Arabidopsis thaliana: one gene and its partners. The protein of the gene in region 1 purifies or fractionates together with the protein of each later gene. This does not show direct contact. Each region holds a gene or a part of one and is shown in the gene's direction. Other genes may lie near its edges.

Evidence for each region.
Region 2: the proteins of SDH1-1 (region 1) and AT5G12040 purify together in Arabidopsis thaliana (affinity purification with mass spectrometry, with the first as the bait; one large-scale study listed by BioGRID). This does not show direct contact.
Region 3: the proteins of SDH1-1 (region 1) and HSP60 purify together in Arabidopsis thaliana (affinity purification with mass spectrometry, with the first as the bait; one large-scale study listed by BioGRID). This does not show direct contact.
Region 4: the proteins of SDH1-1 (region 1) and HSP60-3A purify together in Arabidopsis thaliana (affinity purification with mass spectrometry, with the first as the bait; one large-scale study listed by BioGRID). This does not show direct contact.

What each region holds. Positions count from the first base shown.
Region 1 is NC_003076.8:26,651,661-26,658,211, forward strand, and holds SDH1-1 (succinate dehydrogenase 1-1), read left to right. Parts: upstream 1-1,946; 5' UTR 1,947-2,115; coding exon 2,116-2,223; intron 2,224-2,403; coding exon 2,404-2,571; intron 2,572-2,665; coding exon 2,666-2,753; intron 2,754-2,883; coding exon 2,884-3,030; intron 3,031-3,124; coding exon 3,125-3,265; intron 3,266-3,452; coding exon 3,453-3,538; intron 3,539-3,613; coding exon 3,614-3,706; intron 3,707-3,801; coding exon 3,802-3,865; intron 3,866-3,958; coding exon 3,959-4,102; intron 4,103-4,225; coding exon 4,226-4,413; intron 4,414-4,521; coding exon 4,522-4,696; intron 4,697-4,778; coding exon 4,779-4,949; intron 4,950-5,047; coding exon 5,048-5,117; intron 5,118-5,211; coding exon 5,212-5,332; intron 5,333-5,423; coding exon 5,424-5,564; 3' UTR 5,565-6,036; downstream 6,037-6,551. Other genes in the region: CHR1 (chromatin remodeling 1), read left to right, coding at 3-97, 172-291, 395-514, 600-698, 789-893, 985-1,209. UniProt on the Arabidopsis thaliana protein: Flavoprotein (FP) subunit of succinate dehydrogenase (SDH) that is involved in complex II of the mitochondrial electron transport chain and is responsible for transferring electrons from succinate to ubiquinone (coenzyme Q).
Region 2 is NC_003076.8:3,883,334-3,888,597, forward strand, and holds AT5G12040 (Nitrilase/cyanide hydratase and apolipoprotein N-acyltransferase family protein), read left to right. Parts: upstream 1-1,615; 5' UTR 1,616-1,828; coding exon 1,829-2,089; intron 2,090-2,175; coding exon 2,176-2,292; intron 2,293-2,441; coding exon 2,442-2,666; intron 2,667-2,989; coding exon 2,990-3,083; intron 3,084-3,440; coding exon 3,441-3,515; intron 3,516-3,630; coding exon 3,631-3,709; intron 3,710-3,802; coding exon 3,803-3,818; coding exon of another isoform or gene 3,819-3,836; exon of another isoform or gene 3,837-4,026; coding exon 4,027-4,107; intron 4,108-4,196; coding exon 4,197-4,279; intron 4,280-4,360; coding exon 4,361-4,439; 3' UTR 4,440-4,744; downstream 4,745-5,264. Other genes in the region: HSP17.6A (heat shock protein 17.6A), read right to left, coding at 881-1,351. UniProt on the Arabidopsis thaliana protein: Omega-amidase involved in the metabolism of asparagine. Probably also closely coupled with glutamine transamination in the methionine salvage cycle.
Region 3 is NC_003074.8:8,666,901-8,673,088, forward strand, and holds HSP60 (heat shock protein 60), read left to right. Parts: upstream 1-1,871; 5' UTR 1,872-2,112; coding exon 2,113-2,150; intron 2,151-2,340; coding exon 2,341-2,494; intron 2,495-2,640; coding exon 2,641-2,800; intron 2,801-2,891; coding exon 2,892-3,163; intron 3,164-3,248; coding exon 3,249-3,353; intron 3,354-3,439; coding exon 3,440-3,526; intron 3,527-3,631; coding exon 3,632-3,721; intron 3,722-3,807; coding exon 3,808-3,888; intron 3,889-3,957; coding exon 3,958-4,026; intron 4,027-4,155; coding exon 4,156-4,233; intron 4,234-4,346; coding exon 4,347-4,442; intron 4,443-4,535; coding exon 4,536-4,635; intron 4,636-4,721; coding exon 4,722-4,825; intron 4,826-4,906; coding exon 4,907-5,012; intron 5,013-5,091; coding exon 5,092-5,170; intron 5,171-5,263; coding exon 5,264-5,378; 3' UTR 5,379-5,678; downstream 5,679-6,188. Other genes in the region: BLI (BLISTER), read right to left, coding at 1-236, 484-540; AT3G24000 (Tetratricopeptide repeat (TPR)-like superfamily protein), read left to right, coding at 5,874-6,188.
Region 4 is NC_003074.8:4,560,998-4,566,864, reverse strand, and holds HSP60-3A (heat shock protein 60-3A), read left to right. Parts: upstream 1-1,529; 5' UTR 1,530-1,731; coding exon 1,732-1,769; intron 1,770-1,889; coding exon 1,890-1,911; intron 1,912-2,230; coding exon 2,231-2,362; intron 2,363-2,465; coding exon 2,466-2,625; intron 2,626-2,737; coding exon 2,738-2,913; intron 2,914-3,004; coding exon 3,005-3,100; intron 3,101-3,181; coding exon 3,182-3,286; intron 3,287-3,363; coding exon 3,364-3,450; intron 3,451-3,567; coding exon 3,568-3,738; intron 3,739-3,816; coding exon 3,817-3,885; intron 3,886-3,961; coding exon 3,962-4,039; intron 4,040-4,139; coding exon 4,140-4,235; intron 4,236-4,315; coding exon 4,316-4,415; intron 4,416-4,499; coding exon 4,500-4,603; intron 4,604-4,692; coding exon 4,693-4,798; intron 4,799-4,889; coding exon 4,890-4,968; intron 4,969-5,061; coding exon 5,062-5,161; 3' UTR 5,162-5,348; downstream 5,349-5,867. Other genes in the region: RHD3 (Root hair defective 3 GTP-binding protein (RHD3)), read left to right, coding at 1-52, 162-266, 484-578, 681-777, 888-1,103; AT3G13857 (uncharacterized protein), read right to left, coding at 5,566-5,694.

The sequences.
Region 1 (6,551 bases):
AGATCTCTACCCTCCTGTTGAAGAGATTGTTGGACAGTGTGGTAAATTCCGCTTATTGGAGAGATTACTTGTTCGGTTATTTGCCAATAATCACAAAGTATGTTTCACAAACCCATGGCTCGTAGCTCATTTCCCTTTGAGAACTTCTCTGATCCATTTGCTGATGACCAGGTCCTTATCTTCTCCCAATGGACGAAACTTTTGGACATTATGGATTACTACTTCAGTGAGAAGGGGTTTGAGGTTTGCAGAATCGATGGCAGTGTGAAGCTGGATGAAAGGAGAAGACAGGTTTCACCTGTGCTTATGCTGCTTTTGCGTTGCTTTTAAGCAATATTCTGACCAAATATTATAACCATAAGGTCTCTCTCTCTCTCTCTTTGCCTTGAAACAGATTAAAGATTTCAGTGATGAGAAGAGCAGCTGTAGTATATTTCTCCTGAGTACCAGAGCTGGAGGACTCGGAATCAATCTTACTGCTGCTGATACATGCATCCTCTATGACAGCGACTGGGTAATCAAATCAATTAATTTATTTTCTTTGAAGGAAAATCTTTCTCTTTCGTGTTGTCTCCAACTGTGTTTTGTCTGATCTCCAGAACCCTCAAATGGACTTGCAAGCCATGGACAGATGCCACAGAATCGGGCAGACGAAACCTGTTCATGTTTATAGGCTTTCCACGGCTCAGTCGATAGAGGTAAAACTCTTTGTTGTTCATATCAATCAATCTTAACTTCAAACCATTGAGATTGTTGCCTCATGAGATTGGTTTATGACATTTGCTCAGACCCGGGTTCTGAAACGAGCGTACAGTAAGCTCAAGCTGGAACATGTGGTTATTGGCCAAGGGCAGTTTCATCAAGAACGTGCCAAGTCTTCAACACCTTTAGAGGTTTTAACTTCTCTTAAAGCTCAATCCTTTTTAGATACACTTATTATCAACAAAATCTCCTATTGACAGCTTGAACCAAACTAACACACAGGAAGAGGACATACTGGCGTTGCTTAAGGAAGATGAAACTGCTGAAGATAAGTTGATACAAACCGATATAAGCGATGCGGATCTTGACAGGTTACTTGACCGGAGTGACCTGACAATTACTGCACCGGGAGAGACACAAGCTGCTGAAGCTTTTCCAGTGAAGGGTCCAGGTTGGGAAGTGGTCCTGCCTAGTTCGGGAGGAATGCTGTCTTCCCTGAACAGTTAGGACACATTAATAAGCCAGGCCTTGAAACCACTTCTGTGTTTTTTTTTTTTTTTTCCGGAACATGATCGGTTACTTTTGGCTGGGAGGATTTAATTATTAGAGGGCTCGGAAGTTTTTGTAAGTTAAAGAACTCACTTAAAACCCTGAAAACATGACAGTTAATGGTGATTAGCTCTCAATGTGATGAAAACAATTGGCCCTCTGATTTTGCTGTTGCGGTAATATTATGACTTGTGTACGTTTATAGTCTTTGTAGTCTGCAATTTTGGCATTGAGCTATTTCTCACGAACTTATGGGATCTTATGTTTTGGATTTGGGATTTGTTAACTTATATGATTAGGCTCAATAGTTTCACAGAATATTAAAAACTTGAGTAGGGTTTAAAAAAGAAGCAAAAAGCTCCGATGCCGGGAATCGAACCCGGGTCTCCTGGGTGAAAGCCAGATATCCTAACCGCTGGACGACATCGGATTTGTTGATGTCTATTCTTGTAAATAGTAAATATTTAGTTTTATCGGTTTTGCATCTAATGGACTAAAACATGAACACGAGACGCCGACAAGAATGAATGGGGCAGGCACCAAACATTTGGGTAAAAGTATGCAGTGGGGTATTATTGACAATTTGACCATTACAAGAGCTAATCTTAGGGGGTTTTAGTTAGTAAAGCAAACCCGGTTTAGGAGTAAATATGGAGTGAGAATAGGGGTAATTAAGGGAATTTAAGAGAAGTCATCATCGTTTTCCATTTTTCTTATTTTAAGCGCCTCGGTGGCTATCTCTCACTCCGTTCGCGTCTTCCTCTTAAAGGAAACCTCCTCTACGCGAAATTCGTATTCTCTCATTTCTTCTACGGAGATTTGCATCGAAGAAACTGACTCGCTTGTGGAATCAACAACAAGACGATGTGGCGCTGCGTCTCTCGTGGCTTTCGAGCTCCTGCTTCAAAGACCTCTTCACTCTTTGATGGCGTCTCTGGATCTCGCTTTTCCAGATTCTTCTCCACTGGTTCTGTATGATCTCTCTTCCTTCTCCTTCCGTTTTGTTTATTTTCTAATTCGATCTTATGTAATTCACGAATCATAGTTTTATCCGCCATTCAAATGCGTTAGTAGTCGAGCAAATTGTTGAAAATCGGGGAAAATTTTGATCGATTTGTTTTGTGGTGTTTATTTTGGTTATCTGTTGAGTAGACCGATACGAGATCCTCTTATACGATAGTGGATCACACTTATGATGCGGTTGTGGTGGGAGCTGGTGGTGCTGGTCTTAGGGCGGCGATTGGGTTATCGGAGCATGGCTTTAACACCGCTTGCATTACTAAGCTTTTCCCCACAAGGTCACATACTGTTGCTGCTCAGGTATTTTTCGTTACTAATCTCCTTATACTGTCGATTTTTAAATATAGTTTTGTTTCTTTTTGATTGAGATTATGTTGTCGAAAAAACTGTCAAGGGTGGTATTAATGCTGCACTGGGAAATATGTCCGAAGATGACTGGAGATGGCACATGTATGACACTGTCAAAGGAAGTGACTGGCTAGGTAATCTTAGTCTTCCTTTTGTTTCTTCTCTTTTTTTAGTGAAATGTTTTTTTTTGCTTTTTGTAGCTCTTATGTGATGTGGTTTAGTGAATTGATTAGTGAGTTCTTTCTTGTTTATTTCTTTGTGTAGGTGATCAAGATGCTATCCAGTACATGTGTAGAGAGGCACCAAAAGCAGTCATTGAACTTGAGAATTATGGGCTGCCTTTCTCTCGTACTGAAGAAGGGAAAATTTACCAGCGTGCATTTGGTGGTCAGAGTCTTGACTTTGGAAAAGGTGAGTTGTCTGATGTCTTGCTATTATTGATATTCCTATTTACTTTGTTTTTTAATAGGTCTCTCATATTGGCTTTCCTATTTTTCTGCTTCAGGTGGTCAGGCCTATCGTTGTGCTTGTGCTGCGGATAGGACTGGTCATGCTCTGTTGCATACTCTCTATGGACAAGCTATGAAGCATAACACACAGTTCTTTGTTGAATACTTCGCCTTGGATCTGCTCATGGCTAGTGATGGTAAGTTAATCAAAGTTATTCTCCTTTTACTGTCGCTTCTATTAGTATTTGCCAATTTGGTGGAGGGGTGATGTCAGTAGAATTCAGAACTAGTAGTTGATTTTATGAGGTGGTTGGATGGATCTTATTGATCGATTTAAGGGAAAGCGACTTTGAAGTTAATGCAACATTTCTATCTGATATGCAGGCAGTTGCCAGGGTGTAATTGCACTAAACATGGAAGATGGAACATTGCATCGTTTCCGTTCTTCTCAAACAATTTTGGCAACTGGGGTGAGCTAGTTTCTATATGATACGATTTTTTGCAATAACGAAAATATGCTCACCTGGTGGCTAATGTTTTTCCAGGGGTACGGCAGAGCATACTTCTCTGCAACCTCAGCACATACATGCACAGGGGATGGAAATGCAATGGTTGCACGGGCCGGTCTTCCACTGCAGGTTTTCCACCTGTTTCGTTTTTATTCAAAATTGTGTATGATGTATTTGTCTGTAATTTGTATGCTAATAATCTTATATTTAATAAATTTATGCAGGACTTGGAGTTTGTTCAATTCCATCCAACTGGTATATATGGGGCCGGATGTCTCATCACCGAAGGTTAGTATCATGTTCTCACATACTCGAATTTGTTTGCAATATAAAATTTAATGTGTTTTTCACAAAAAAAATTTGGTGTTTAAACAATTGCAGGATCTCGAGGTGAAGGTGGTATCCTTAGAAACAGTGAAGGTGAACGTTTTATGGAACGATATGCTCCTACAGCCAAGGATCTTGCATCAAGAGATGTTGTCTCCAGATCCATGACTATGGAAATCAGGGAAGGTCGTGGTGTAGGTATGTTCCACTGAAAACTACTTCTTATTTTCAGAGTGAACTCTCATTACATGATATGCTTTGATATTGTGATCAGTCTAGTTTGATTCTCACCCTGGACAACTTTTTGCTGATATCTTCCAGGACCGCATAAGGATCATATCTATCTCCATCTGAATCATCTTCCTCCAGAAGTTCTAAAAGAAAGGCTTCCTGGAATCTCTGAGACCGCTGCCATCTTTGCTGGTGTTGATGTTACCAAAGAGCCAATTCCTGTCTTACCCACGGTTCATTATAACATGGGTGGTATCCCAACAAACTACCATGGCGAGGTAAGAATAAGAAAAGTCATTTAAGAAACTTTGCTGAAATTTGTGTGGAGTTAAGCATGAGATGGATTAGAAGCCTAGCTCTGAAAGTTATTCTGTTAAATCCTGCAGGTAGTTACCATCAAAGGCGATGATCCAGATGCAGTGATTCCTGGGCTAATGGCTGCTGGGGAGGCAGCTTGTGCATCTGTTCATGGTGCCAACAGGCTTGGTGCAAATTCACTGCTCGACATTGTCGTATTTGGTCGTGCTTGTGCAAATAGGGTTGCAGAGATAAGCAAACCAGGTTAGTCTTTTTTGAGGACTGCTGTTATTATAAAAGATAAGTCTCTTCTGATCATTTTTTTTTCTTTATTCGATTGGTGCAGGGGAGAAACAGAAACCTCTTGAGAAGGATGCGGGTGAGAAGACTATTGCATGGCTGGACAGGTTGAGAAACTCAAACGGGTCTCTACCTACTTCAACTATCAGATTGAACATGCAGAGGATTATGCAGAACAACGCAGCTGTGTTCCGCACGCAAGAAACATTGGAAGAAGGTAAACAGTGATCTGAACTTGTTCTGCATTTATTTAATTCTCTCACCTGCAACTGCAATCCATTTTCTTTACAATTTATTACCGTGAAACAATCACAGGTTGTCAGTTGATTGACAAGGCCTGGGAAAGTTTTGGGGACGTCCAGGTGAAAGATCGGAGTATGATATGGTAAGACAGACTCTATTCACATGGGATTGATTATCACACTGTTATAAAATCTGGTGAACTCTTGTTAATCTTGGAAACTATGAATAAAATGCAGGAACTCGGATTTGATAGAGACATTGGAACTGGAGAACCTTTTGATAAACGCATCCATAACAATGCATTCAGCAGAAGCACGAAAGGAAAGCAGAGGAGCACATGCTCGGGAAGACTTCACGGTTTGATTCCTTGCTCAGCTTTTCCACAATGATTGATTATCCCATAATGATGAAACCATAACGTAGTATAAATGAATGCGTGTGTATGCAGAAAAGAGAGGATGGAGAATGGATGAAGCATACATTGGGATATTGGGAAGATGAGAAAGTGAGATTGGATTATAGGCCTGTTCACATGGACACTCTCGACGATGAGATCGACACTTTCCCTCCCAAAGCTCGTGTCTATTGATCGAGCCCATGTTTTTATTTTATCTGTTATCGGAATAATAATAATAATCAGGAACCCCCCAAAAAAAGGGAATTAGGAGAAGAAGACGGAGTTATGAGCTGATGGAGCACAAAGGACTGTTCTGAAACTGGGTTTACGTTTTACACCAGAAACGATGAAAATAAATTGATAGAAAGAGGAAAAAACACTACAATTCTTATTTTCTTTATCAGTTCCTGAAATTGTTACATTCTTTGTTACCTGTTAATTACGCCTTGGTGATATTCATTTTTTTTTTTTAAATCAAAATGTTCGAATTCCGTATCGACCGTGAAAGTTATTTTGCGGTGATAATAGGTATCAGAACACGAGATACAATTTTGAGTTGTGACCATTAGAAAAACAAAATTTGGGTTGTTTTTTCTTGTCTGAACAAAATTTTATTTTAGGTAAATTCGGATCAGTCAAGGCATTTTTTAGGCCTACAAGTGGGGGTAATTTCAAATATTTTTGTTCAATATTTGCGTATCTGAGCGAGTTTTAGATTGGTCCGATCGTCGTCGCTAGATGATAATGTTGGCCGTAGAAAATGTGACCTTTATAATGTATCTCTCTTTAAAAGTCGTCCACTTGCTTATGGCGTATACTAAAAAAGTGCTCTTCCACATATGCAAATTGAAGATACAGTCGGTGAATGTAAATACAAAAATGATCTATGATTACGACCTTGAAGCTTAGAAACTAGCCCCACACCAATTCGACTAATTATGTAGTTCAATATTACACTAACCAACCATAAGATATTATATTTTTCCGCATGCGTGTGTGTTATTCCTAATTAGAACCAATCGATAACAAAATTAGAAAGCTCCACACAAATTAAACTAAACCAGTCGACTTCACCAACCAACCTTATCTATTAACCTGCTCATTTCACATTTAACAATTCCAAAACCCAATCAATTATAGTTAATTAAAAAATTTCGACACAAAGCTGACTTAGCAATG
Region 2 (5,264 bases), about 23 Mb from region 1:
TACAACATGCACCTCAAGATCAGAAGTTCAAAGTCTTAATGATGGAAACAAGACTAAATTAGTATATGCTCTGGTTTCTGGTCAGAAAAATTAATGAAAGACCATATTTATTTTAGTGACCAAAGAAAAATACTATATATGTGGTAGCACTAACTCACTGAATACCACTAAATCGTGTATAACGACATTAATATAAGCTATTAAAGACGGTTACAAATCTGCACAAAACTTGATTTGTCTTAAAACTCAGTTGATGTTATTTGCATTCGCAAATGCAAATTTCATTTAAAAAATAATGTAGCAGATTGAGATATCAGACTTCGTATTATACTACAGATGTAGTAGCTGAAGATTCAGTTACGTTATCCAACATGAAAAAAGTACAAAGAGTTGTTTGGATTTTAAAATCAGAATAACAAAATTGTTTCCTTTCATCTAATACTTAAAGGATAAAATTGAATATGTAAGAGTTTTTGCAGATATAATAACACTGTGTTACTGATCTCATACCCATAAATTACTTCAAGGGACATAACTCCAAAAATATATTTTGCTGACTGCAGAGATAAGGGTGAAATGCAAATGTGGATTTGATGGCCAATGTGCTAAATAGCACCAATGATATTAGGAAAGGATGAACAGTAATAATTTCTGCAAAAACAGAGGAATGACCATTCGGTGTCTTTTTTGTTGTGGTCCTATTTTTGCCTCATAAGCATGGATGGTTCAAGAGAGCAAAAACTTCATTGATTTGAAGATTGAACACAAAGACAAATATGAACAGAGAAAACTATTTTTATTTCATTTTACAACGAACACCAAGAGGTAGTTGCTTATCGATTACATTCATTAAAACACAAAAACACGATCACAAACAAACTCAAGCGACTTGAACTTGTATAGTCTTTGGTTTCTTTGGCTCAGGAGGAGGAAGTTTCGGAATAGTCACTTTCAACACACCGTCATTACAAGCCGCAGAGATCTTCTCCAAATCTGCATTATCAGGTAACTGAAACTTCCTCATAAACTTCCCCATCCTCCTCTCCATCCTCACAAACTTCACACCTTCATTCTCCTTGTTGTCCCTCTGTCTTTTGCCACTCACCACAAGCACGTTCTCGTTCTCTATCTGGACCTGAATCTCATCTCCTTTGATTCCAGGCATGTCCACGGCGAAAACGTACGCATCCGGGTGCTCGATAACGTCAGCTGGTGTAGCAGCCATTGCCTTTGCGTCTCGCATGTAAGCTCTTGAAGGGTTGTTACGAGTCTTCTCGGTTTGTTCTTCAGGGGCTTCAAGCATGTCTTCGAGGATTGAAAATATTGGAAACCTTCCAAACTCCAAATCCATTCTTAGCTGTTGTGTTAACTTTCTTGCTTCTTGGCTTTTTCTTTGGTTTGATTGATTTTGATTTTGATGTAAGAAAGTATTAAATAGAAGTTGAGTTGGATAGTTCTAGAGCAATGTAGAGAGAGCGATTGTTTCGGTGTTATAGAACTTAAAAGCGCTTCTCTAACGTTCGAGAAACGTCTTGATCGTTGGAGAAGTGTAGATGGATATTTCTAGACGAATGTAGAGAAAAGCGATTGATTCGGTCAGGCCCAAGACCAATTCGTTTTCAGGCCCATATGTATTCTGTTTTGGATTTAGTAAGGATGTTAAATTTATCCGGTTTGGTACGATTTCATTCGAATTTAGTGTATAAAATTGATTGAACCGCGTCAATACGGTTGAAACGCAAACGCAGAGGATTCATGAGTCATGGCTTTTGTGAGGTGAAGTATCAATATCATCTACCTACCTATATGATCATCGGACTAAAGTGAAATGAAGTCAGCAATTTCATCGTCACTCTTCTTCAATTCGAAGAATCTTTTAAACCCTAATCCTCTTTCTCGCTTCATTTCTCTCAAATCTAACTTCCTCCCTAAATTATCTCCGAGATCGATCACTAGTCACACCTTGAAGCTCCCATCTTCGTCAACCTCAGCTTTAAGATCCATTTCCTCTTCCATGGCTTCTTCTTTCAACCCTGAACAAGCTAGAGTTCCCTCTGCTCTTCCTCTCCCAGCTCCTCCGTTGACCAAAGTTAGCTCCTTTCTTTTCATTTACCTTTGGGTTTTCAATCATTTCAGCTTTTGATTGATTTCTTCGTTCCATGGGTAATTTTGTAGTTCAACATCGGATTGTGTCAGCTATCTGTTACATCTGACAAAAAGAGAAACATCTCTCATGCTAAAAAAGCCATTGAAGAAGCTGCTTCTAAAGGAGCTAAGCTTGTTCTCTTACCCGTGAGTTTTTCTTCTTTGTATCTTAGCTCATAGCTCTTTGTGAGTTCAATTCTAATGTTCTGTTGCTCAAATGTGTAAAATTTACAAAAAGTATGAGCTAGTGGTATCGTCTCTATGGGGTTTAAAACCATTCAATGGGTTTGTTTCAGGAAATTTGGAACAGTCCGTATTCCAATGATAGTTTTCCAGTTTATGCGGAGGAGATTGATGCAGGTGGTGATGCTTCTCCTTCAACGGCAATGCTTTCTGAAGTTTCCAAACGTCTCAAGATTACAATCATTGGTGGATCTATACCAGAAAGAGTTGGAGATCGTTTGTATAACACTTGCTGTGTCTTTGGTTCCGATGGAGAGCTAAAAGCTAAGCATCGGAAGGTTAGATTTTTTGAGATTAAACTTTCATAGAAGAAATAATGAACTTTCCTCTGCTTTAGGCCATAGAATGAAAGATGCTAATCTTACTTCTAAAATCGTTGTTCATCTTTTATCATCTGTTTTTAGGATCTAATAGACTTAGAATCAGTAATTAGAATGATGTGGTAGTTATGTTCTGGTTCGAGTTCTTCCTCTATGATTCATAAGGACAAATTATGAGGCGAGATGGCCTTGACCGTTTTATGCTTATATTATCAATTCTCAGAACATCTTGTTTTTGATTGCTTGCACTTATTTGTGTTTGTACTTGTGTGTGCATACAGATACATTTATTTGATATAGACATTCCCGGGAAGATTACTTTTATGGAATCCAAAACTCTTACTGCTGGAGAGACACCAACAATCGTTGACACAGGTTATAATCTTGGTTTGCCAAATATAATTCCAGGTCATGCATAAACAATCATGTATCTTACATAAACTCATTGTGGTACTATCTAAAAATAATAATTTAGGATTAAGGATTTAAATTTCCAGTCAGATTTGGGATCTTCTTAGCTCAACAGTGAAATGATTCATTTTCATGCTGGCCTAGTGTTTATGAATAATAATGTTTTTAAGATCTTGCCAACTATTTTGACTGGGGAAATGTCTTTATTGAACAATCAAGTCATAGTAGGACCGTTCACATCACCTCTCACTTTCTAGTACTTATGAGAAATCTTTAACGCGGTGCAGCGCTTGAGAATGATAGTTTTGTTGGTTGTTGCAGATGTAGGGCGTATTGGAATAGGCATCTGTTATGATATCAGGTTCCAGGAGTTAGCTATGATATATGCTGCAAGAGGTGAGTCTTCATATCATAATGCTTTATCCAAATGGACTATCTGCTTCCTCTCTTTTTCGGGTCCATTACGTTTTAAAGAACCTCATCACCCACATGTTTACTTTAATCATATCAGGGGCTCATTTGCTGTGCTACCCGGGAGCCTTTAACATGACAACTGGACCATTGCATTGGGAATTACTACAAAGGGCCAGGTATGATTCACAGTCTACTACATTACGACTTTCTTGGCTTATTTAATCATGGGTAAATCACAATGCTCATCGATCTGTTTTGTTCCATTTCAGGGCTACGGATAATCAGGTACATGAACCAAGTTAAATACTTGTATTGATAGCCAAAAGAGAGATACAAGTTCTGACATTTCTTAATGAATTCATAGCAAACCTGCATTTTTCTTTGAGTTATCAATACAAGTATTATCTTCTGCTCTTTGGGGTTAGTTTTACTTAATTGACTGTTATCAAAGTCATGGACCGGTTAATAGAACTATGTATGCTACTTTCTCCAGTTATATGTGGCGACATGCTCACCTGCCAGAGATTCAGGAGCTGGCTACACTGCTTGGGGGCACTCAACACTCGTTGGGCCTGTAAGCACTAAACTTTTTCTGTGTTACTTGATTGATAATGAAGCTTTTAGCTGATCACTAAACTTTGAAACATATATATTATTTGACAGTTTGGAGAAGTACTAGCAACGACTGAGCATGAGGAGGCCATTATCATAGCAGAGATTGATTACTCTATCCTTGAACAACGAAGGTAATCACGGAAACACCAGAACTTTCTTGGTTTTTGATAGCGTGATCCGCTAACTGAATCTCGTTTTTTTTACCATCTTAGGACTAGCCTTCCATTGAATAGGCAGCGGCGGGGAGATCTTTACCAGCTTGTAGACGTACAGCGCTTAGACTCTAAATGAACGCAGCAGTAACTGTATATCTGAGAGATATTGCGAGTTGAGCACGATTTGGTTACTTACAACTTCATGCATGATCAGTCATTTCTCCACAACTTTGCTGAGATATGTAAAAGAATAAAAATCAAACTTTTGAGTTAAAATCGAACAAAGGCAAGTAAATTCTGCTTAGATAATGTGAACTCCACCCACTTGCCATGTGTTTGTTGTTTATAAACTTCAATGCATTCTGATAACAATGTAGACTTGTGATTCGCAATCAGAATAGCATTTGACTTTTTTATCAAAATATATACACTATTTTTGTGAATTTCTCAGTAAATGTCATTGTCTATGAAAAAAACAACTCATATCTTCATTCCACAACCATCATATTCAATATCGAGTACTTACTTAAACTAAAATTGTTATAACTGGTTCTTCAAATGTTCACACCTACTCAAAACGTTTCATCACATAACTCAAGTCAAGTCAAAGATAGCCATGGTATATTTTGCTACACATCAAGATTTGTAATATGCAATGTAATTTGTTTTAGATGAGAAGAAGAAAAGAGTATATAGAGTATGCAGATAGGTTCATCCACAAGCACAAGTGGGATATAAAAGATTTGAAAATGAAATAACATATAAACTTTTGTCAGCGGCCTCAACATGATTTGAAGATCCGTGGTTATTGTTGAATGATAAATGACCGGACGACAAAATGCAGTTACAACAGCAGAAGCCTTACAAGATTCACCACAGTGTGTAGTGGTTTCGTCTTTGGAGAAGACACGTGGACCAAGCCTATAGGGTAAAGAAAGACGTAGAGTGGTCCATGCTCGTC
Region 3 (6,188 bases), on another chromosome or scaffold:
CTTCTTTCTTTGCTTCCATCATCCATTGCTGTATTCGAAAATGATAAATTATATACATCTTTGGTATGGGTTTCATTTGAGGTAGATTCAGCAGATTGCTTGAGAGGTCCATTAGAGATAGATGCACCAGCTCCATCTGAATCTATGACACTTTGTTGGCTATTATCAACAGGTTGTGTATTCTGTGATGCCTTTTTAGCTTTTTCTGCTGCTTTTCGTTTACGAAACTGCTCAAGCTGAAAATCCAGAAATTAAACGATAAGAAACACACAATTTTACGCATTCATCTTTAAAAAAAACAAGCTTTTTGTCGAATAAATCTCAATTCTGATTGCATGCGTTAGGACATCAATCTCAATTCCAATATAAACAACCCACCTAAAAAAAATGATCAATTGACTCAGCACCGACAAATTTTAGGGGCAAATTCAAAGTAACGAGAGAATCAAACAAAAGATGATGATTATGATGATGATGATCTACCTTACGGCGTCCAGCTTCAACGTCCTCTTGCCTCCGGGAACTAGTAGCTGATGCCATTGAAAAATACTCGAAATCTCGCAGAGGGAAATGTTCCCTCTCCAATTGCTTCAAATCAATGCTTTTTCAATTACCATTGAATCCGTTTTAGCCAAAGCCATTCCCGGAAATCGCCGTTGTTATGATTGAGGAGAAAACTCAAATTTCAAAAAGCCCAGATCCTGACGCACAGATCGAGAAGATATCGTTGAAATTTCGGGGTGGAGGAAACAGATGGAGATCTCGAGAAAACAAGTTCAAAAATCGATGGAATTGTCAAACAAAGAAATCGAAATTAGGGTTTTCGATCTGAAGGAGAGGAGGACGAAGTTCAAATATTAATTTTGTTCGTCAGATCTCTTTTTAACAGATCCCTTTCTTTTTATTTTCCCCTTCTCTGCTTTGAATTAAACGTTTTTACTCGTTTTTTTTTTTCTTTGTTTGGTTGCAATTTTTTTTTAACGTTCACTCATTGTTTGTTTGGTGAAATTTAGATTTCATGTAGCTTTTGATTTTAAAAATGTATAAGAAGTGTGTAATGTATTTGTTCATAGTCTGTTGTATTTTTTGAAAAATAAGAGAGAATGTTTAGGTAGTAAGAAAATTAAGAGAAAAAAAAATGGAGAGAAATGAGTCGTGATGGACACATATGACAGGTAAAGAAAATAAATAGGAGCATCCATGTGGCCCGTGGAACATGACGACAGCCCACCAAATTACTCATGTTTTTAAAGAGAGAAATTGACAAATTTTAATATCAATAGAAGCTTCAAATTCCTCTACTTTAGGACAACTAAAAGAGCAAAGTAATGAAGAAAAAAAGTGAAGCAAGGTCAACCTTTTGGTATCATCTAGGTGTTTATTATGGGGTTTGGTTCACTTTTTTGTTTGCATTGTTTGGATTTTGGATTTCTTTTGGAGTTCTATTTCATATTATCAGTTTTTATCTTTGCGTATTTAAGAAACTTTTACTGAGGTAAAATATTACACAAATTGCCACTGATTTTAGAGAACAAATTCAATTTAAAAAACTCGAAACACCGATTTGTTTTGTAGAGCTGAAGCAAACCTAAACCAAAAACCTAATCCAACCGGAACCATTTAATTACCGTTGGTTTTCTTTGGTTTGGTGTGGTTCAGTTTGATTAGATTCAAGGATATTTAGATCAAGCGATATAATTTTATTTTATTTTTTGGTTAAACGCTATATAAAATTTGACATGTATATTATGGCAAAATCACAAATGCTGGTTATCAAAAGATGAAAAAATGAAATCTGTTTCTTTGGGGCAAAAAATATTACAGAAATTAAATTGGAAAATGAGATTAACGACTTTTTTTTTTTTTTTTTTCGTCAAATGAGATTAACGATTTTTAAGTTTGAAATGAAAGTTAAACCCTAAAGAGGCCTAAAACCCTAAAAGGCTCATATAGTAACTAGCAGCTGCTTCTAGACTCTTCTCCTTCGCTTATTAAGCCCTCTCAACTCTTCTTCTCTCTCTCTCTCTCTCTCCGCCTGTTCTCCATTGATCTAATCTAACTCGCTCATCAGAATCATCTCTTCATCGTTAATCCTCTTCCTTCTCACTCACCATGTATCGTTTCGCTTCTAACCTCGCCTCCAAGGCAAGGTAATGAACTCACTTTCTTCGTGTTTTTTATTCACTCTCATTGGAAGCTAATGAGGAATTAAATCGATTTGGGTTTTGATCTACTCTCTTCAAATTCATCTGGGCTCTCGAAATCTACTAGCTTAATCCCGATTCTGAATTGCCAGTTCTGATAATAAAAATGGTGTCTTTATTGTTCTCTGTTCTTCAGGATTGCTCAAAACGCTCGCCAGGTTTCCAGCAGAATGAGCTGGAGCAGGAACTATGCAGCGAAAGAGATTAAGTTTGGTGTTGAAGCTCGAGCTTTGATGCTTAAGGGTGTTGAAGATCTTGCTGATGCTGTTAAAGTCACCATGGGTCCCAAGGTACTCTTTTTCTTCTACACATTTTGATTTGATTTGGACATGATTTGGCCAGAGGTTCCTTCCTTAGCATGTGATTTGGGTGACCGGTTGATTCTGTATCGAATTTGGTCTAAGACTTTCTGCTTTATGTGATTCTAATTTTGAAGGGACGTAATGTTGTGATTGAGCAAAGTTGGGGTGCTCCTAAAGTGACAAAAGATGGTGTTACTGTTGCCAAAAGTATTGAGTTCAAAGACAAAATTAAGAACGTTGGTGCTAGTCTTGTGAAGCAGGTTGCAAATGCTACTAATGATGTTGCTGGTGATGGTAAGATATTTCATTTTGATTGATTATGCGGTTCATAGTTGTAGAAACTTTGCAAAACTATGTACCAATGCTTGTTTAACTTGTCATGCAGGTACTACTTGTGCTACTGTCCTCACCCGGGCTATATTTGCCGAAGGATGCAAATCAGTTGCCGCAGGAATGAATGCAATGGACTTGCGAAGAGGTATTTCCATGGCAGTTGATGCTGTGGTGACAAACCTTAAAAGCAAGGCTAGGATGATCAGCACATCTGAAGAGATTGCTCAGGTTGGAACCATTTCTGCTAATGGAGAGAGGGAAATTGGTGAACTTATTGCCAAGGCTATGGAGAAGGTTGGCAAAGAAGGTGTTATCACAATCCAAGTAAGTAAATCGCCGAATGATTGCTCATGTTGCTACTTATATATTGGTCAAAACATAATTCTGACGTGGGTATAATGCATTGCAGGATGGAAAGACATTGTTTAACGAGTTGGAAGTTGTAGAGGGGATGAAATTGGACAGAGGTTATACTTCACCATACTTTATCACTAATCAAAAAACCCAAAAATGTGTAAGTTTTTTACTCCCTGCTCAATTAAGTTTCTTGATGTGTCATATCAATTATAGAAGTTACTGAATTGGAATTAATCTATGTAGGAACTAGACGATCCTCTCATTCTTATCCACGAGAAGAAGATCTCAAGCATCAACTCTATAGTGAAAGTGTTGGAGTTGGCTCTGAAGGTATGTCTACTTTATCTTTATAGTAAATCTGTAATCATTTTCTCATGTAAATGCTGTGTGAAAGGCATCTGATGTGGTTTCTGTTGTCCAAATAAAATCTTACAGAGGCAAAGACCACTATTGATTGTTTCTGAAGATGTGGAAAGTGATGCTCTTGCAACTCTTATCCTTAACAAGCTCCGTGCCGGAATTAAGGTTTGAACAACAGAAGCTCTTACTACCGTCTCCTGACTTTTAGCTATGACTTCTTTGCTTTTAGATTAATAGTTTCCTCCCTGCAGGTCTGTGCCATCAAGGCCCCTGGGTTTGGAGAGAATAGGAAGGCCAATTTGCAAGACCTTGCTGCCCTTACTGGTGGAGAGGTAGTACATTTGTTGTGTAATGTGTTAGTCTTGTCAACAATGGAATATTATTGACTTAGCTTGATACAGGTTATCACAGACGAGCTTGGCATGAATCTGGAGAAGGTGGACCTAAGCATGCTAGGAACCTGCAAAAAGGTAGCCTTTGAAACCTTAACTGATATAGACATGGTGGCTCTTAGTATGAACTAGATTTGGCTATTACATTCTCAGCATATCCTTGTTGGATTGTAAGTGTAGTTGAGACTTGTCTGGCTATTTGTATAGGTTACAGTCTCCAAGGACGACACTGTTATTCTTGATGGGGCTGGCGACAAGAAAGGAATTGAGGAAAGATGTGAACAGGTAATTTTTAACCTTATACCCTGATAAATTGGTTAGTAATAAAATTTGTATGCAAGAAATTATGAAGTGTATGAAAGTAGTTCGTTCTAATTGCTTGGTATTGCAACTAACAGATTAGGTCAGCAATTGAACTGAGCACCTCAGATTATGACAAGGAAAAACTGCAAGAAAGGTTGGCTAAGCTCTCTGGAGGTGTTGCAGTGTTGAAGGTTAGTCCATGTTATAATGTTTTGGGAGTCTTAGAATCATAGCAGCCTGGTTGTAAGTGTCTTGTTATAACTTCTGGAGCTAATTGTGTTTAGATTGGAGGAGCAAGTGAAGCTGAAGTTGGTGAGAAGAAAGACAGAGTGACAGATGCTTTGAATGCCACTAAAGCAGCAGTTGAAGAGGGTATTTTACCAGGTATGTCTCTTCCAGTGAGGAAGACTCTTTGATATAGTGCTAAAAAGTTTGCTATGTGCTAAAGAAACAAATCAAAACACTTGCAGGAGGAGGTGTGGCTCTTCTATACGCAGCAAGAGAGTTGGAAAAACTTCCAACAGCCAACTTTGACCAGAAGATTGGTGTCCAGATTATTCAGAACGCATTGAAGGTTTTCTATTCTTTAGAACTAAAATCCTCTGATCTGATAATTGATGACAAGAAATTGTTTTAACGAGTTTTGGTTTACCAGACTCCTGTTTACACAATCGCTTCAAATGCTGGAGTTGAAGGTGCTGTTATTGTTGGCAAGCTCTTGGAGCAAGATAACCCAGACCTCGGTTATGATGCTGCTAAAGGTGAGTTTCACAATCCATCATCACTTCACTTTTGTTCTCTCTGAAGATTGCATTTAGCTAACTGTGGAGAACAAACTAGGTGAATATGTGGATATGGTGAAAGCTGGAATCATAGACCCTCTGAAAGTGATCAGGACAGCTTTGGTTGATGCTGCGAGGTAAATAAAAAGCGAACACCCTAACTAACAATGTTCTTCTTCATTTCGATATATGAGTCTTAAGCTAAAACTGTATACTTGCGTTGTTGGCAGTGTGTCATCTTTGTTGACGACAACGGAAGCTGTAGTGGTTGATCTTCCGAAAGACGAAAGCGAGTCAGGAGCAGCAGGAGCAGGCATGGGTGGAATGGGAGGCATGGACTACTAGATCCACTAAATTCTGTCTTTTGTTTTCACCAATCACCATCTTAACTTGAGAAGAGAGATACGATTCTTTTAGGAGTTTTAGTCTTCGTCTTTGCCTTATTGTTGCTCAATAACCTCAAAAGTTTTACAATAAACAGAGCACACTTGGCAATGTTACGAGACACACTATTAGCATCAACAAATTTTCCTAAGGCATCATTTGTGTTTGTCATTGCTTCTGGTTCAGGTCTGGTACTCCAACAATAAACCGACCCTTCAAATTACAGTATTTATATATATACCCAAGTTTCATCGTAGTTAAACCAAGATTTAGCAAAATTAAGCAACCACTAACTGAAATGCACCAAAAAAACGAAAACCACAAAATCCAAATTACCATGAAATCGAACTGAAATATATTCCGGTTATATACATTGACACAAACCGAAGATAACCAAACTATTTTCAGTTATAATTCATCTCCGGTTAGCATCTTTGATGTTGTCGAGTGTCGACCATGGCATTGCGTTTCCCGCCTCGTCTCCTCTCTCAGCTGAAGCTATCTCGGCGTCTGAATTCTCTCCCGGCACCGGTATCTGAAGATTCCGAAGACGAATCTTTAAAATTCCCATCCAATGATCTTCTTCTCCGAACGAGTAGCAATGATCTCGAGGGCAGTTATATTCCCGCCGATAGACGTTTCTACAACACGCTGCTGAAGAAATGTACAGTCTTTAAGTTGCTCATTCAGGGAAGGATCGTTCATGCTCATATCCTTCAATCTATCTTTCGTCATGACATTGTTATGGGCAACACTCTTCTCAATATGTAT
Region 4 (5,867 bases), on another chromosome or scaffold:
TAGCAAGAGCATCAGCACAATTGATTCACTTGCCTCAAGCACTTGGGAGAAGGTGACTAAAACCTTACTCACTGTATATAATGAAAACACAAAAGGTCTCATATTTAGTACTCACACCTTTGAGATATAAAAGATCCTTACTGTTACCTTGTTATTATCAGGTTGCACCAGAAAAGACGTTGATCACACCTGTGCAGTGTAAATCACTGTGGAGGCAATTTAAGAACGAGACAGAATATACCGTTACACAGGCCATTTCTGCACAGGTAATCTTTGCAATCCACACTTTCAAGCATATCTTCCGTTTGCTCATTCACATGAGCTGATGTTAAAATTTGGCAATGCTACAAAACGTTTTTGAATATCTTTTTTTGGTCATGTCGTTTCTAGCTTCTTGTCTCCTTTCTCATCTGTTCTTTAATCAGCTAACACCCGGAAAAATAATTGAGGTTTCAATCTGAATAAAGTCTCCTTGGATTTCAGGAAGCTAACCGACGGAATAACAACTGGCTGCCACCTCCATGGGCAATCCTTGCCCTGGTTGTTCTTGGATTTAATGAATTTATGACTCTCTTAAGGTACCCTCCTTGTCCATTCTTTTGAATTGACTCGGCGGCTTTTTCATACAATCAAGATTCCGTACTCACTTTGGCTCTTCGTGCCTGCATCTCTCATGGCAGAAATCCTCTATGGCTCTTAGTTCTATTTGTCGGATACCTTGTATCCAAAGCCTTGTGGGTGCAATTAAATATTTCAGGAGAATTCCAAAACGGCGTGGTATGAGCACGATATCCAACATCCATATTTTTACTTTTGCCCCTGTTCTTCATTTGATCTCAATTATAATCTCACCGAAATGCCAATGTTTCATCTATGATCAACAACAGCTACCTGGACTTCTCTCTTTGTCAACCAAATTCATTCCAACGGTCATGAACCTCCTCAAAAAGCTTGCGGAAGAAGGACAAGCACCACCCACAAATAGCAACCAATCAATGAACTCTACAGCTCAATCCGAGGTTACAACCAATGGAGAAAGCAGCAGCAGCAGTAGCTCTGGTTCATCTCCAGCAAAAAACGTACCCATTGATACAAGTGCATAGAACAAAGAAGTATACAAGCTTAAGCTGTTGTGCTAGCCCACGAAGCTAGAAACTTAAAATTCGTTACCCTTTCAAAAAGGTAGCTCTCAGTTTTGGTGTTGATCAGAGAGATTCACCGAGAGCCATATGTTTTATGTCTCCGATGGCATTGGTTCCCTCTTGCAGGTGTCAAAGTGATCTTGTATGTTCCTAGACTAAGATTCTGATGCAGACAAAAACAAAAAAACTCATGATTTGTTTGCGAGTTCTGTAGTGATGTGGTTATTGTATCTGATAAAAAGAATGTTACTTGAAGAAAAACCGGTTTTTGATTAAGTGAAATTCAGTTTGGTTTTTGTTGATTGAAGAGAATTTCAGGTTCTCATTGCAAGTTTATAGTGTAATCATGTTAGCATAGAGTTTTTGGGCCATTGGAAAATTCATAATGGGCCTAAGATAACGGATGAAACTGTAAACCTAATTATGGGAGATGCAGAAACAGAGCACAAAGAAAGTTCCAGACTATTAGCTTTTCTAAAAGAAAAAAGTTTCACTCTTTGGAGGTTGGAACTTAATTCCTTGATTAAGAAACCCCAGAAAAACCCTAAACCCTTGAAGCGTCTCCTTCTCTAGTTCTTTGCAAGCGGAAATGTATCGAGTGCTATCAAAGTTATCTTCTTCAATTGGGTACGTTTCGTTCTTTCATTCAACGAACTTATTCAAAACTTGTATTTTTCTCGATCAATATTTTTTGATGAGCAGAGCTTAATTTTCTTCTTCCTCTTTCTGGGTTTGATTGTCTTGCAGCTCGTCTACTTCCAGGAAACTGGTGAGTTTCGTGAACTCTCTCTGTCTTTTTGCGAGTTTGATTGCATTTCGTTTATGGGCATTCTTGTTGGTAACAGAGAAATTGCTAGAAATGTGTCAAATTACTAGTCCTGATAGTTTATGCAATGAAAAAAATAGGGTTTACATCAAAATCTCCACCTTAAGCTACTTAATTTGCAAAATTGCTCTGCTTTTATTGGTTTCAGATGCAATAGAAGATCTTCTAGTTCCGGAATGATTAGCTTGAATTGGCCGTACCCTGTATCAAACTAATTAATTCCGATTTTGATTTTCTTTTGGTGTTCTCTCTTACCATGAAGGTTTCTGGGCGGATTATAAGTAGCAGAAACTATGCGGCCAAGGATATCAGTTTCGGGATCGGAGCTCGGGCAGCTATGTTGCAGGGTGTATCCGAGGTTGCAGAAGCTGTGAAAGTCACTATGGGACCAAAGGTATATATATTTCGTTCTCACAAGGTTTAGATCAATGTAGAGTGGATTGTTTTTGAAACAGTCTTCAAATTCAATATCTTTTTTTTTTAATTCTGTGGTGTAGGGAAGAAATGTGATAATTGAGAGCAGTTATGGCGGACCAAAGATCACAAAGGATGGTGTCACCGTGGCAAAAAGCATATCATTTCAAGCTAAAGCTAAGAACATTGGTGCCGAACTCGTCAAACAGGTTGCAAGTGCCACTAACAAGGTTGCTGGAGATGGTAATATTTTCTCTTTTGAGTTCATAATCATGGATAAGTTTTTATTGAAAACATACGGTGAAGAGATAATAGTAAAGTCTTAATTTCTGCTTGCCTTCCTTTCGTTATATAGGTACCACTTGTGCCACTGTTTTGACTCAGGCGATACTCATCGAAGGCTGCAAGTCGGTGGCTGCAGGTGTAAATGTGATGGATTTGCGTGTTGGAATTAATATGGCAATTGCTGCAGTTGTCTCTGATTTGAAAAGCAGAGCTGTTATGATTAGCACCCCAGAAGAGATCACACAGGTGAATTTAGAAACATATTCATAAGTCAGGAATTGTGAATGCTATACCAAAGGTTGATCTATTACTGCTACTGCATATGTTCCTTTGATAGGTTGCCACTATATCTGCAAATGGGGAGCGTGAAATAGGGGAACTAATTGCAAGAGCCATGGAGAAAGTTGGAAAGGAAGGGGTTATCACTGTTGCTGTAAGCTTACTTTTCTTTTCATGCCTTATAATAGATCACTTGATGGTTGTCTGATCGCTGTGTTATTCTTCAAATACCCAGGATGGTAACACTTTAGATAACGAGCTGGAAGTAGTGGAAGGAATGAAGCTAGCCAGAGGTTACATTTCTCCTTATTTTATCACGGATGAGAAGACCCAGAAATGCGTGAGTGAAATCTATCGTGTTTAGTATTGTGTGAAAAGGAAAGAAAGGGTATTGAACTACCTGTGCTTGTTTTTCAGGAGCTTGAAAATCCCATCATCCTCATTCATGAGAAGAAGATTTCAGACATTAACTCTTTGTTGAAAGTTTTAGAAGCGGCTGTGAAAGTAAAGCATTCCCTTGATTATCTAGAATACTATGTTCTGAAGTCCGGTTTGGCGGTTTCTATAGTTGGCTACAAGAAAACTACTCACTTCTTTCTCTTATTGTTTGCGGTTGTGCAGAGTAGTAGACCACTTCTTATTGTAGCAGAAGATGTTGAGAGTGATGCATTAGCTATGCTTATTCTCAATAAGCATCATGGTGGGCTTAAGGTATGTGCTATCAAGGCTCCGGGGTTTGGTGACAACAGGAAAGCAAGCTTGGATGATCTTGCAGTTCTTACTGGTGCAGAGGTAGAAATTTCTCAGAAACAACATAATAGTTATGTTTGTGTCACGTTTTCATTTTCTAACTCACTTGTTTATGCACAGGTTATCTCTGAGGAGCGTGGGCTATCTCTAGAAAAAATTCGCCCTGAATTGCTTGGAACTGCGAAGAAGGTAACAGGAGAAATCATAACTGGTTTCTGTTTTTGCTTTTGTGTGATTCAAATCTAACACAAATTCTTTAAACTAGGTTACCGTTACCCGTGATGACACTATTATCCTACATGGTGGTGGTGATAAAAAGCTAATTGAAGAAAGATGTGAAGAGGTATATGATTATTTTCTTACAATATCTCTGACATGAATCTTGCTCACTAGAATATTCTTTATACAGTAGAAGCAATCCTTTTTACTCTCATGCTCTACAGTTAAGATCAGCCAATGAAAAGAGTACATCCACTTTTGATCAAGAGAAAACGCAAGAAAGACTCTCAAAGCTATCAGGTGGTGTTGCAGTCTTCAAGGTTAGTCAATCACCCATCAATCGGTCTTTCTAAACTCTTGCATACGAAAAGTAGCTGATATGTGCCTTGTTCCTATATAGGTGGGAGGGGCAAGTGAATCTGAAGTTGGAGAGAGAAAAGACAGAGTCACTGATGCTTTAAACGCCACAAGAGCAGCTGTAGAAGAAGGCATCATACCGGGTAATAGAAATTATTCGCATCTTCTCTCTATTTACTCTGATATAGCTCACATGATGTGCCTTTAACGGAGGAAATTTCAAATAGGTGGTGGTGTGGCTCTATTATATGCGACAAAGGCTTTAGACAACCTTCAAACTGAAAACGAGGATCAAAGAAGAGGTGTTCAGATTGTTCAGAATGCTCTCAAGGTTAATAATCTCTAACTTCCTCTTGATGAAAGATTTCCGTCCATGTCCCAAACTGTAAAACCTGACATGATGTTGTGAATCTTGTGTAGGCTCCTGCATTTACAATAGCTGCAAATGCCGGTTACGATGGTTCTTTAGTGGTTGGCAAGTTATTAGAGCAAGACGATTGCAATTTTGGTTTCGATGCAGCCAAAGGTTAGAAACTTAGTGTCTTTGAGAACATTATCAATCGCAAATCTCATCGATCTCTGAAAGTGTCTGCCGTTTTTGTTTCGTGTTGCCATAGGTAAATATGTGGATATGGTGAAAGCTGGAATCATAGACCCAGTCAAGGTGATCAGAACCGCCTTAACCGATGCTGCTAGGTAAAGAGTGTCCTAACAAACTCAAAACCTTTGGTTGCTTCTGTGGAATAATAAACTAACTCCTTATCATGTGTGTGTGTGTACAAAATGCAGCGTTTCTTTGCTTTTGACAACAACAGAGGCCTCAGTGCTTGTGAAGGCAGACGAGAACACTCCAAACCATGTCCCTGATATGGCCAGCATGGGCATGTGATCTTGTGACCTCTACAAAAAAAGAAACATTCAAATTTTTATTTTTCTCTACTAAAGTTAGAAACTTTTCTCGATTTAAATTTGGTTGTCTGGTTCTATATATATTGTTACAGTGAATTTTTAATGAATTTTGTTGAATTCAAAAATTATATCCTGTGGTCGTATATTACGAACTTTGCTTAAGTGATGTTAATTATGAATCTTATACCCTTGATTCTAATTCAAAATTATTACCCAAAAAATGGCATCATTATTAAGAACCTTCCATCTCCATCAGAGGTGTAACGGAATGAATTAGATCTAAGCAAAGTTATTGGTTTATCTCATCGGAACTGCAAAACTCAACTAACTGAAAAGTACAAAACCACTGAATCATATTATTTGAGATTTTTTTTAGGTCAAATTTTAGGTTTCAGTTACAGAAAACGAAGAGAAAACCCCAGAAATTGAACGCCGAAGAACAGAGGAAGAAGAAATCGATCTGGAAAATTTTGCAAAAAAAATTTGGACCATTTCTCGATTTATGCGTGTCATCCTTGCGCAGGGGCCATGCTAATCTTCTCTGTATCGTTCCAATTTTATCGGATGTCCCCTAAGGGACAATCACTACTTCGACTCTAGCTGTATATAAACTCAGCTTCGTTTTCTTATCTAAGCGATGTGGGACTTTTGAAGATTGTTTTCAACTTAAATGGGCCTATATAAGA